3 linked regions of the Canis lupus familiaris genome follow. The protein of the gene in region 1 purifies or fractionates together with the protein of each later gene. This does not show direct contact. Links are inferred from orthologs where the notes say so. Each region holds a gene or a part of one and is shown in the gene's direction. Other genes may lie near its edges. The genes, in order: CDH5, JUP and CTNND1.

The links.
Region 2: the proteins of CDH5 (region 1) and JUP purify together in Homo sapiens (affinity purification with western blotting; 3 studies listed by BioGRID and IntAct, with this or other methods). This does not show direct contact. The link is inferred for Canis lupus familiaris from reciprocal best matches to the Homo sapiens genes CDH5 and JUP.
Region 3: the proteins of CDH5 (region 1) and CTNND1 purify together in Homo sapiens (affinity purification with western blotting; 3 studies listed by BioGRID and IntAct, counting the BioPlex papers as one, with this or other methods). This does not show direct contact. The link is inferred for Canis lupus familiaris from reciprocal best matches to the Homo sapiens genes CDH5 and CTNND1.

The regions. Positions count from the first base shown.
Region 1 is NC_049226.1:83,446,696-83,450,748, reverse strand, and holds the start of CDH5 (cadherin-5), read left to right. Parts: upstream 1-1,248; 5' UTR 1,249-1,407; intron 1,408-4,053. UniProt on the Homo sapiens protein: Cadherins are calcium-dependent cell adhesion proteins. They preferentially interact with themselves in a homophilic manner in connecting cells; cadherins may thus contribute to the sorting of heterogeneous cell types.
Region 2 is NC_049230.1:20,915,344-20,918,941, forward strand, and holds part of JUP (junction plakoglobin), read left to right. Parts: intron 1-1,063; 5' UTR 1,064-1,071; coding exon 1,072-1,276; intron 1,277-2,953; coding exon 2,954-3,213; intron 3,214-3,434; coding exon 3,435-3,598. UniProt on the Homo sapiens protein: Common junctional plaque protein. The membrane-associated plaques are architectural elements in an important strategic position to influence the arrangement and function of both the cytoskeleton and the cells within the tissue.
Region 3 is NC_049239.1:38,935,598-38,939,964, reverse strand, and holds the start of CTNND1 (catenin delta-1), read left to right. Parts: upstream 1-1,470; 5' UTR 1,471-1,657; intron 1,658-4,367. UniProt on the Homo sapiens protein: Key regulator of cell-cell adhesion that associates with and regulates the cell adhesion properties of both C-, E- and N-cadherins, being critical for their surface stability.

The DNA.
Region 1 (4,053 bases):
GCTCTGCGGGGAGTCTGCTTCTCCCTCTCCCTCCGCTGCTCCCCCTGCCTGTGCTGGCTCATGCACACACATGTACTCTCTCTTGTCAAATAAATAAAATCTTTAAAATAAATAGATAAACCAAAAATAAATAAAGCCATCTCAAACTCAACGTGCCTGAAACAGAGAAATCCTGAGCTCCCCTTCCCAAAAAATATTCTCCTACTCTGTCCCCCATCTCCGTACTCACATCTACAGATTTACTGAGTGCTCCTGGGCAAGATGCTTCCCCTCAGGTCTCTGTTGGTTCAGTCGTATAAAGGAACAAGTTTGGGACTTCCCAACCACTCACCCATGGGAAGAGGCAACCATTCAGAGGACGGATTCCCATTGCTCACGCTGGGAGAGTCCACATCAGTTGAGCTGGAACAGGGCCCCAGGATCTGCAGTTTCTAAAAGCTCCTCCTAGGACTCAAAATTCACAGAATCTGAGCCCATCCTACCCCCAGCTGCTTGGTTCTGATGGACTGATCCCACCTTCAGCTTCATTCTAACTCTTGTTAATCTCAACCACCATGTGAGGCTGAGGCTCTGATTATCCCCACTTACAGATGAGGGAACCGGGCAATGGGGGGACATGACTGGCTCCGCAGTCACAACAGAAGCAGAGCTAGGGCGCTTGACTCCACTTGATATTCCCAAACTCAAATGCCCCCACCTCCAAACCCTGGCTGCTACCTTAGAGCTAGAACCCATGCCCCCCTCCATCAGGGAGAGGCCAACCTGGCTGGCCCTCCGGAGCTAAGAGCTGGTTTCCCATCTCCCACCCACCCCACCCCCAAAGGCCCTGAAGCCTCCCCATCACCCGCAGTCTGCCGCCCTTCCAGCATGTCACGGGTCACCTGGGAAAATCTGGCTCCTGGCCCGGGCTGACCCAGGCTGGACTTCTGGCTCTGCTACCCCCTGGCTGGGTAGATGAGCACTTGGAGACTCTCAGTGCTCTGAGTTATCACAGGGGGTGATGACACCTGCCCTCAGAGTTACAAGGAGGATGAACTAAGGACTGTGGTGAGTGCTGGGCCCAGGGTTGGGGCCTGGGGTTGGGGTCTGAGTTGGGCGTCCCGGGTCGGATCCAGGCCTGGGCCTCTGTGAGGACAGCCTGGCGGGGCCGAGGCAGCCGCCCACCACAGGGCCTGCCTATCTGCAGCCAGCCCGGCCCTCACAAAGGAACAATAACAGGAAACCATCCCAGGGGGAAGTGGGCCAGGGCCAGCTGGAAAACCTGAAGGGGCGGCAGCCAGGCCTCCCTAGTCGGCCGGGTGTGGCTCCCCTCAGAAGCTATCGGCTGAGCTCCACAGAGCTCCACACCAGCTCAGCCCCAGCCGGACCGTCAGAGGGAACGAGGACACCTCTGAGCCCGCGAGCACGGTGAGTGAGGAATCCCCGCACCCCATTCCACCCCAGACTCGGGGCATGTGCCCACGCTGAGAGGATGTCTGGCTTCCCGGTATGGAAAGTGGCCGTCGTCAGGGCCCCAGGCAAGAGCCATTCTTGGGGGGCAGACCATGGCTCAAAGCAGGGCTGGGAAAGCGCACCTAGCGGCGGTGCCATAGACACAGACGGGCATTCTCAGGATCAAGGGCTAACGATGTGGCTCTTCCACATGTAGACTCTCCACCCCTGTGTGACTGGAAGGCCCAGTGGCTTCCATCGGTGCCATGATCAGAGAGGGCGAGAGTCTGTCTGAGGTGCCAGCACACCAGAGGTAGAGGACCAACCCCAGGCCTAGTCTCCCTAGGGTGGCCCTCCTCCATGGCCTGACATCATCCCTCCTGCCAAAGTTGTGAGCTGGCATCAGGAGAGGAGCCCTGGAAGGGGAGCTCTGAGCCCTGGGCCCTCTCTGTCAGCCAGTACCCCCACTGTTAGAATAGGCAAGCCGAGGCTAGGATCCGGGCACCTGAGGCCCTACGGATCCCTCCCCTCCCTGCCCTGGACACTGCAGGGGCCACGTTTGAGCTATGGGAGCCTATGGGAGCCTACAGGAGTCTATAGGAGCCTATGGAAGCCTACAGGAGCCTATGGGAGCCTATGGGAGCCTACGGGAGCCTACAGGGGCCTACAGGAGCCTATGGGAGCCTACAGGAGCCTATAGGAGCCTATGGGAGCGTACGGGAGCCTACGGGAGCCTATGGGAGCCTACGGGAGCTTATGGGAGCCTACAGGAGCCTACAGGACCATGGGAGCTACAGTGAGGAAGGCAGCCCACCTGGATGCCCCAAGGTTGGGACCTCACAGGCCTCATATTTTAGGGAAGTCCCCCCAAAAGACTTGAAAGCAAGCAGTTTAGGGTGAGATCCACAGATCTAGCTCCTTCCCATGCTGCTTTGGGAAAATTACTCAGCACCTCCAAACCTCTGTGTGCTTGTCTGAACAATGGGACAGGGACTCATGCCAGCCATCATGGAAACTGGAGGTGATCAGGATAAAAGGGTCTAACTGATGGAGCTCATGATTCCACTACTGCCAATGAATCCATAAGTTCGATGCGTCCTTTCTCTGTTCCTCAAGGGAGGCAACTGAGATTGGGCAAAGAAAGAGCAAGAGTGGGGATCTGAGCCAGGATCAGGACCCCAAAGCCCAGATCCCAGACCCTTCTCAGCACCAAGGAGCTCCTCCATGTCTCAGCATTCTCATCTTTAAACCAGAGGAAAATAGTCTTCACGAGTCCATTAAAGGAGGCAATGTACACACCAGGACTGGCGCCAGGAAGGGCTCACAGAAGGGGGATCTTCAAGAAATCACAGCTGAATTTACCCACTCCCCCAGAGCCATAAATGTCGTAACGTTTTTGACCCTGGGTCAGTCAGTCCCCAGTGGGTGGAGGTGGGTGCAACAGAGAGGATGTGGACTCAACCCTTCTCCTGGTAGGCACTCCTCACCAAGCTACCCCATGGATGATGCTGCTGTGTGAGGGGGACAGATGGGATCCCACAAGAGATGAAGGGCTCCACAGAGGCAGGAAGCCTGGGTAGCTCAGAGGACTCATGAAGGCTGGTGTGGCCACAGGGGACACTGGAGGCCATGAGTGCCAGGACCAGGGCCTCTGGCTCACCTTCGGGTGGTGGGGAGCAGCGGAGACCAGCCACCTTTGGGCCCTAGCCTGGAGGGCAGCGGGTAACCTGCAAGGGACCCACGAGCTGCTGAGCCCCCGGGCAGCCCTGCCAATTCCATTGTAAGGCAGCAGGGGAGGCGTCCACTGGCCTTGCAGGGGTTAAGCTGTCCACCCCACAGTTTCAACCTGACCAATTGTGCTGCGAAACAAGGGCCGGACATGGGGGCAGGAAACCAGAGGGGCCACACGGATTTTCTCTCAAAGTTGGCTGACTCACAGCCCTGCTGCTGCTGCTGCCTTGGGGACACAAGGTGAACACAGTGGCCACTCGCTCTAGAAAAATCTTCGGTTTCTTGCCTACAGGGACCCATCCCTGCTACTGCCAGCACCTCTCTCCACCTCCACCCCCCCGCCACCCGGCATCCTTGAAGCTACTAAAACAATTCCTATTTGACAAAGGGGACCAGGGAGCTAAGAGAGATCAAGCAACCAGTCCCAGGTTACACAGAAAGCGTGAGATGGAAGCAAAATAGGAGTGAGGCCAGCCCCTCTGACCCACAGTCCCACCACACTCCAGAGTGAAGCTCGGAGAGAGGATAAGTCAGGGAGGGTTAAACCTGACCATTTAAGCCACACAATCAGGCAGGAGGACAAGCCAGGGGCCTAAAGATCCTGGAAGGAATGTTCTAGGAGACAGGTTCTACCCTGAGGAGCTTAGCTTCTGGCTAGAGGATACTAAAAAGTCCATCCTAACCCAAGTCCCAGATGTTGGATGGAAAATTTTCGAAAGGCTTCCTGGAGGAGGAATATGGAGAGGTCTTAGGTCTGCTCTCCGACCTTCAGTCTTCTAACCTCTCAAGGGCAAGGCATGGACCAAATGTTCCCTAAACTCATTCAGGGACCTCCAGATTGTCTGCCTTGGGACACAGTAAGAGTCAGATCCTGGCAGGCACAGGCACTGG
Region 2 (3,598 bases), on another chromosome or scaffold:
CTCCCAGGGGTGGGACTCAGGGGTCAGCTCCCGAGACAGGGAAGCCAAACAGACCAAGTAAGAGTCCACCACCCTGGTACACAGTACGGCCCAGCAATTCATGCACCTCAAGTGCCCCCACGTCTCTGCAGAGAGATGGAGGGGTGCCTGAATAGCAGCAACCCCTCCTGAGGCCTGCCTCACCCCTTATCTTAGCCTGGGTTCTACAAAGACAGGAAGTGGGAACCCCCCACTGAGGGAGAGGCACCGCTGATAGGTGGCCGGCCACCAACACCCAGCACCCACTATGTACCTGGCACCCGGCTGGGTCCTTTACAAATCTGGCCTTCATAACAACCTGCGGGGGGGGGGGTGGTGGTGGTGGTGGTGTTATCCATATTTTGCAAATGAGGGTTGGGTTCTGCAGAGAAGTGAATTGGTCCAGTCATATGTGGCTGGTATTTCGAACTGGTCGATGGGGCTCAGAATTCCAGAAAAGGCTTCTAAGACCTGGGGTGCCGGAGAGACAGGGATCTTAGAGCTTGGGCCTCTGGGGTCACTTGTGATCCTGCCCCATCTTCAGGAAAGATCCTTGAGATCCTGGAGTCTCCAAGGGAGCCTCTGACTGCTCCTAGCAGCCTCCAGGGCTCTCCAGAGAAACCCGTCTGACTGCTTCCCTGCCCCACCCAGTTTCCTGTCCGATGCTTGGGGTGTAGCTGCCTCACCATAGACTTTCCCAGAGAGCCCTAGTGGATGGGGGGGGGTGGGTCTGTGGGATCCCAGAACCTGCTGGAGGCCCTGGGTACCTTTTGCTCAGAGAGTGTGGGCCTGGGGAGAGCAAGATGAGCAAGCCCAGGGCTAGGTTGGGGCATCTGGCTCTTTACTGCCCCACGCCCCCTGGGGTGTGCTCCATCCTGGGCTGGAGGTAAGCGATCTAAGCCCTGGACTCACCCTAGGGTATCCCACCCCACGGTGGGGATTCCCTCCCTGGGCCTGGGAATGGGCTGAAGCCGGGGCTGGGCCAGATGATGATGGGCTGCCTCACTGGAGCCAGCTAATTTCCTGCCTTCCTTTGTGTCCCCAGCAGCCATCATGGAAGTGATGAACCTGATTGAACAACCCATCAAAGTGACTGAGTGGCAACAGACATACACCTATGACTCTGGCATTCACTCGGGTGCCAACACCTGTGTGCCCTCGGTCAGCAGCAAGGGCATCATGGAAGAGGATGAGGCCTGCGGGCGTCAGTACACGCTCAAGAAGACCACCACCTATACCCAGGTGCCCCAGAGCCAAGGTCAGGAGCCCCGGGGACTCGTTCAGGGAAACTATTCCATGGAAATACTTCAGCAGAAAACCAGTCTGGGGCCTGGAGGAAGGTCAGGGCAAAAGGAGGCAGACAATGGGAGCTCCTGTCTGAGGGAGGAGGCACAGCTACTTCAGGGTTGCCCCCATCTGAGAGGGCGGCAGATTCCTCTTCCTTGAACTTCTCGTATGGAGGGAGAAGCAAAGTCTGAAGGCAGGGTCCTTACCCTCGATGAGCTTACAGTGTAATGACAAGGTGTCACTGTTGCCCTCAAGAGGCCCATGGACGATTGGGGAAGATGGTCCTTTTGCTCCAGGGGCCCCAAGTTTGACGGGGAGGCAGGGCTCCTGACGAGGGTAGGAGGAGACCTACAGGTAGGTTGTGGCCAGGTGGCAGAGTGACGACCCAGTTCGGGCTCCCAGCTCTGGGCCTCTGGCAGCAGGGGATGCCTCACCAGCTAGGGCGCTGGCCTCTCTGGGGGAGAAGGGTATCCGAGCCCTAGGACTGCTGTCCACGGGTGCCTCCCGGGCCCCGAACACTGAACAGGATGAGCTGTGGGAGCTGGGAAAGGTATGGGGCGGGCTGTGACAGGTGGAGGCCCTTCAGAACTCAGCCTCCGCCCGGGGCTCTCCTCCCTGACAGCAGGCAGGGAGAACCAGGCATTGTGTTGGTAGCTAAAAGTACAGCATTCCAGGTGGGAAAGCTGTGTGGGTGTCTCCTCCTTCCTGACTAATTGGAGGGTGGAACCTCTGCCTCTTTCTCCTCAGGGCATCGGGACACTTGCCAGGGCCAGGCTGCCTGGGAAGTTTGGGCACCTATTTGTGGGGCTCCTGGACCCACCCAGGGGGTGGAACCCGGAGTCTTAGCTAAGAACCCACCTCCTGCCTTCTGAAACCCACACTCCCACCTTTCCCTCTGATCTGCTGTATGATACTGGGTAGCCCTCTGGGCCTCTATTTGCTTGCCTCTATAATGGGAGAGTTGCCTCCTTTGGAGATGATGAGGATATAATTAGAATCATGAGATCTCAAAGAAAGGAGACCTGGGTTGTCTGCTGCTACCCCAACCTGATTGTTAAGGGAGGGGCATAGGGTTGGGGTTTGGGCTCTGGAGTCAGCCTGTCTGAGTTCAGACCCCAGCTTGGGCTTCTAGGAAAACAACAACAACAACAAAACCAAACAACTCTCTGGGCTTCAGTTTCCCCATCTGTAAAATGGAGATAGTAATAGTATTTATCTTTTAGGGTTATTATGAGATTAAATGAGAAAATATAAGAAAAACGTTTAATTCACTGCTAAGCACTTTGTAAGTGGTCAAAAATTTTTAACTGTTCCCATGATAGTAATCTTCACTAACACTTTTGTAGTGATGTGTGTAGTACATCCTTTCTTTTCAGAGCAAATTACAACTATTATCTCATTTAATTCCCTATAAAAATTCCCTGTGACGGACAGAACAGGTGGTGCCCCATTTTACAGCTGACATGACGAGGTGGTGGTGACCTCCCCCGGTTAGAGGCAGAATCACAAGTGGTGCTGCTGGGGCTTTGGTCGGGGTGGGAGCCAGCCCAGAGAGCCCGGTCTACAAGGCCTGCCCTGCCCCCTGTGTCCCCCCCACCCCTGCCCATCCTGCCACTCAGTCCCTCCCCGTTGACACCCCCCCATCCAGGTGACCTGGAGTACCAAATGTCCACGACAGCCAGAGCCAAGCGGGTACGGGAGGCCATGTGTCCTGGCGTGACAGGCGAAGACAGCTCGCTGCTACTGGCCACCCAGGTGGAAGGGCAGACCACCAACCTGCAGCGGCTGGCCGAGCCGTCCCAGCTGCTCAAGTCAGCCATCGTACATCTCATCAACTACCAGGACGACGCCGAGCTGGCCACCCGGGCCCTGCCTGAACTCACCAAACTGCTCAACGACGAGGACCCGGTCCGTGGGGGGCCTGGCCAGGGTGGGGGCAGGGCAGAGAGGGGAGAGGTCAGGTGTCCGCAGGGGCCGGCCCTACGCAGGGCCCCATCAGCAGGGAGAGTCTGAGCTGGGTCCCTCTGAACTTTGTGGAGGGGGTCACTTGCCCTCCTCCCCCCATCTCACGGTGGCAGCCAGCCCGGCCCCTCTGCTCACTTTTTCCCATCCCTCCCCGTCCCCCTCAGGTGGTGGTGACCAAGGCAGCCATGATCGTGAACCAGCTGTCCAAGAAAGAGGCGTCACGGCGGGCGCTGATGGGCTCGCCCCAGCTGGTGGCAGCCGTGGTGCGTACTATGCAGAACACCAGTGACCTGGACACAGCCCGCTGCACCACCAGCATCCTGCACAA
Region 3 (4,367 bases), on another chromosome or scaffold:
TTTCTGTCAGGTGGCACCGAGGATCTGAACAGCTCCCGTCAAACTATCAGGAAAGAAGAGAATGGAAAGGTTAATGAAGAAAGGGTAGGCTCAATTCCAATTTCAGCCAGAGAAGGGGGGGTGGGGGCAGAGGATGGCTCTCGCGAGGCCCCACACATAGGCTCCGGGGAAGCTTCCCAACCCACCAGCAGCCGGCCTGGCCCCGAGACCCGACCTGGACGAGCTGTGCAGTCGGAGCTGCGCTTGGCGACCTCTCGGTGCTTGGGTCCTCTGCCCAGCCTGCCTTGCTTCCTCCCCAAGCCCAGCCTCGCGCGGGGAGGTTTAGCAAAGCAGCGCAGGTGGGCCAACGGCCTGAGGGTCTCCCCGTCCAGAGCCGAGGAATCGGGGCTGGCGGAGAAAGCTGGGCTTCAGGGCAGGCCCTGCAATGCTGGGCGTCCCGTCCCGCACGCTCCGGGCGCCCCGGCCCAACTCCTTTCAAGAGAGACCTCTCGGCGCGAAGGTTTCTGGGAATGGAGCGTGGGGACCCCGGAGGCCCGAATTCAGGGCTCGCGGGCACCACCAGCCAAGGCCGCACGGGCTTTGCAGCCACCCCCTGGCGCCCTCGTACCGCCGCGGGCCCCGCCAGCCGCCTGCACCGGGAGGCGGTGACAGCGAGGGCCTGAGGCCACGCGGCCCGCGCCACACAGCTCGCGCCGCCGTCCTCGCGCACGGCGCGTCGCGGGGCCCGACGTCCTTCCTCCTCCCCCAGCCCCCCTGCTGACGTCTGCCCGAACACGTCATCCCCATTGGCCGAAGGCTCGTCGGACGGCCAATCACAGGGGCCGCAGCACTTTGGGCGGGAGGCTAAGTCTCGAGCGACTTGAAGGCCGCGCTAAGACGGGCTGCGAGAGGTAGGCGGGCGGGCGGGCCTGCCCGGACGGGTCCTCCCGGGGCTGCCCTCTCCCTCGGCGCCCGACGAAACCCCGGTGAGAAGCGGGCGAGGATGCCCCGTAGGGCGGGCTCCCGGGCGGCTGCAGGACACCACTGCCTTCCCTTTGAGGAGGCTGCCAGTAAGTGGCCCTGGCCTGTGAGAGCGCTCCAGGCTCCCCGGGGGGCTCCCCTTGCGCCTCGGTCGGGCCTCTCCGCTCTCGAAAGCTCCTCAGGCTACGGATGTTCGCCAGCGAGGCCTTGGGGTTAGTGCCTGGGTGTAGGCATTTCAGAGATTCCAGTCCCCCCTAAATCTCCGAGACCGGGCGTGACCGAGGGGGTTGCAGTACTTCCCGTGCGGAGCGGCCTCCGGTGTCCTTCCAGGGATGATCTAGTTAGTGCACTTCCTGACTGGAAACAACTATTTTCAGGGGTGAGGTTAAAAAAAAAAAAAAAAAAAAAAAAAAAGTAAGTGATTTCAGGATTAAACATTTAGAGAGAATGTCAGCCCACATGACATGACAATGAACCCGGACATTGGTTCTTACCCGTTGTATGTGTTAGGACCTGGGGCCTGGCTCCCGTGAGATGCCCCGCCACGGCTCTCTAGACGAAGATGGTCAAGGCCAAAGCCACCGGGGATGGAGTGCGGTGAACTAAAGCGGGGCAGCTGCCACTGAGGCCAACGGGAGGCAGAGCCGAAGATGCTCGGGAGAAGGGGAACCTGCACAGAACGGACCAGAGTGCTGAGGTGAGCAGTGCAATGCGCTCAAATAGGTCTCTGTTGGTATCTAACGTCTTTTCCAAGAGGCTTTGAGGGGTATGTCGATGATACTACAATTAACTATGTTTTTAAGATATTTTATTTATTCATGAGCGACATCCAGAGAGGGGCAGAGACACAGGCAGAGGGAGGAGTAGGCTCCCTGCGGGGACCCCAATGTGGGACTCGATCCCAGGACCCCCGGATCACGACCTGAGCCTAAGGCAGACGCTCAACCGCTCAGCCACCCAGGCGTCACTGTAATAAATTATTTTTAAAGAATTTGAGAAGGTTGACTTAAATATGGGAGGCGGGGTGCATTTCCAAGTCAGGTAATAATTTTCTAGGCTTCTGTTCTCAACGTGGAAAAAAGATCAAGGAGCAGAAGACATTTTCGGCTGCAGTTAATGTTTTGAAGGGGAAGCAGTTTGTGAAAGGACGTAAAAGCAGAAGGAGGACACACGCAAGCAAAAAAAAAAAAGGCAGAGCAGTGTTTATGGCATCTGTCATAAGAAAAATAGAAATATTATATCCCCCCCATGAATTTATTGTTATTAGGATTATATTAATTTTCAAGAAATAGAGAGGACTCACTTCTTGGTTTCTTTCTTTCATTCATTCTTTCTTTTTTAAAAAAGCTTTTATTTATTTATTCATGAGAGACAGAGAGAGAGAGAGAGGCAGAGACACAGGCAGAGGGAGAAGCAGGTTCCTCGCAGGGAGCCCGATGCGGAACTCAGTGTCGGATCCTGGAATCACACCCTGAGCCACCCAGAGACCCTTCTTTTCTTTTCTTTTCTTTTCTTTTCTTTCTCTTTTCTTTTCTTTTCTTTTCTTTCTTTTCTTTTCTTTCTTTTCTTTTCTTTTCTTTCTTTTCTTCTTTTCTTTTCTTTAAGATTTTTAATTTATTCATTTGAGAGAATGACAGAGAGCACAAGCAGGAGGAGATAGAGAGGGAGAGGGAGAAGCAGACTCCCTGCTGAACAGGGAGCCGGATGTGGGGCTTGATCCCAGGACCTGGAGATCATGACCTGAGCTGAAGGCAGGTGCTTAACCATCTGAGCCACCCAGGTGCTCCCCTTTTCTTTTTTTTTTTTTTTAATTCAACACCATTTAGATAAATCTTGTGATAGTGGAATTTCTAAAGGGGAAGATAAATGGCCATCCTACCAAGGGCTTTAAAAATGACAACATTCGATGGTAATGTGTAGCCACCAGAGGGTAGAAACGAGTAAAAATATTTTGTCTTCCTTTGTATGGATAGCCAGTGCTTTTTGAAGTTGATTTTTTTTTTTCCCCCGTTTCTTCTCCTTGGCATTTATGGTTTTGGCTATTTTAGGAGTGGAGACAGCACAGCACTCAGCCCTACATGATAATTTTAATATTTCTTTTATTTTTATTTTATTACTTTATTTTTAATATTTCTTTTTTTTTCTTTTTTGAATTCAATATTATTTCCCAACTCTTCCCTAATTTTTTACTATTTTATCGTATCTTTGTATGTTAAGCATGTGATGGATGTTGGAGGGGAGATAAAGTTTGAGAGTTGAAAACTGAGCACTGAATGTAACATTCATTCCGTTTGTTAAAAACAAAACAAAATCAAAGAAGGGACGCCTGGGTGGCTTGGTGGTTCAGGGTCTGTCTTTGGCTCAGGTCATGATTCTGAGGTCCTGGGATGGGGTCCCCATTGGGCTCCCCGCAGGGAGCCTGCTTCTCCCTCTGCCCATGTCTCTGCCTCTCTCTCTCTCTCTCTCTGTGTGTCTCTTACGAATAAATAAATCTTAAAAAAAAAAAAAACAGGAAAGAAAAAAAACCCACCTTGAAATAAAAAAACACCTTATTGGGGATCCTTGGGTGGCTCAGCGGTTTAGTGCTGCCTTCAGCCCAGGGTGTGATTGATCCTGGAGAGCCAGGATCGAGTCCCACATCGGGCTCCTGGCATGGGGCCTGCTTCTCCCTCTGCCTGTGTCTCTGCCTCTCTCTCTCCCCCACCTTATATCTCTAAACATATCCTTAATCTGTTGACTTCTCTCTATTTTTACTGCTACTACTGTAGTTAACTCCATATTACTGCAACTTGACCTTCAAACTAATTTCCTTGCTTTCACCCTTGCGCCCTCTTTTATCCATTTGTCATCTAAGATCTTTTCAAAATCTGAGTTAGATCATGTCACTCTGCTGTTGAAAACACTCACAGACTTCCTTCTACCTGAAAATAGTTTAATCAAATCTCTAACCTGTGGAATTCTTCATATTTCTACCATTCCCTCCCTCATTTTGATACTGTGCTGGATCCCACAAGTTTCAGCCTCACACTTGGGGGCTTTGGCATTAGTAGTTACCATTGCTCCTATATTCCTTTTTTTTTTTTTTTTTTTTTTTTTTTTTTTTTTTTTTTTAAATTTTTATTTATTTATGATAGTCACAGAGAGAGAGAGGTGCAGAGACACAGGCAGAGGGAGAAGCAGGCTCCATGCACCGGGAGCCCGATGTGGGATTCGATCCCGGGTCTCCAGGATCGCGCCCTGGGCCAAAGGCAGGCGCCAAACCACTGCGCCACCCAGGGATCCCCTGCTCCTATATTCCTATGTTGGCTGCTTCTTCCCATTCATATTTCAACTTAAATGCCAAAGTCTCTGGAGAGTTTGTCCTTGACATCCAATATAGCACAAGCCACAAGTCATTCTCATCAGTC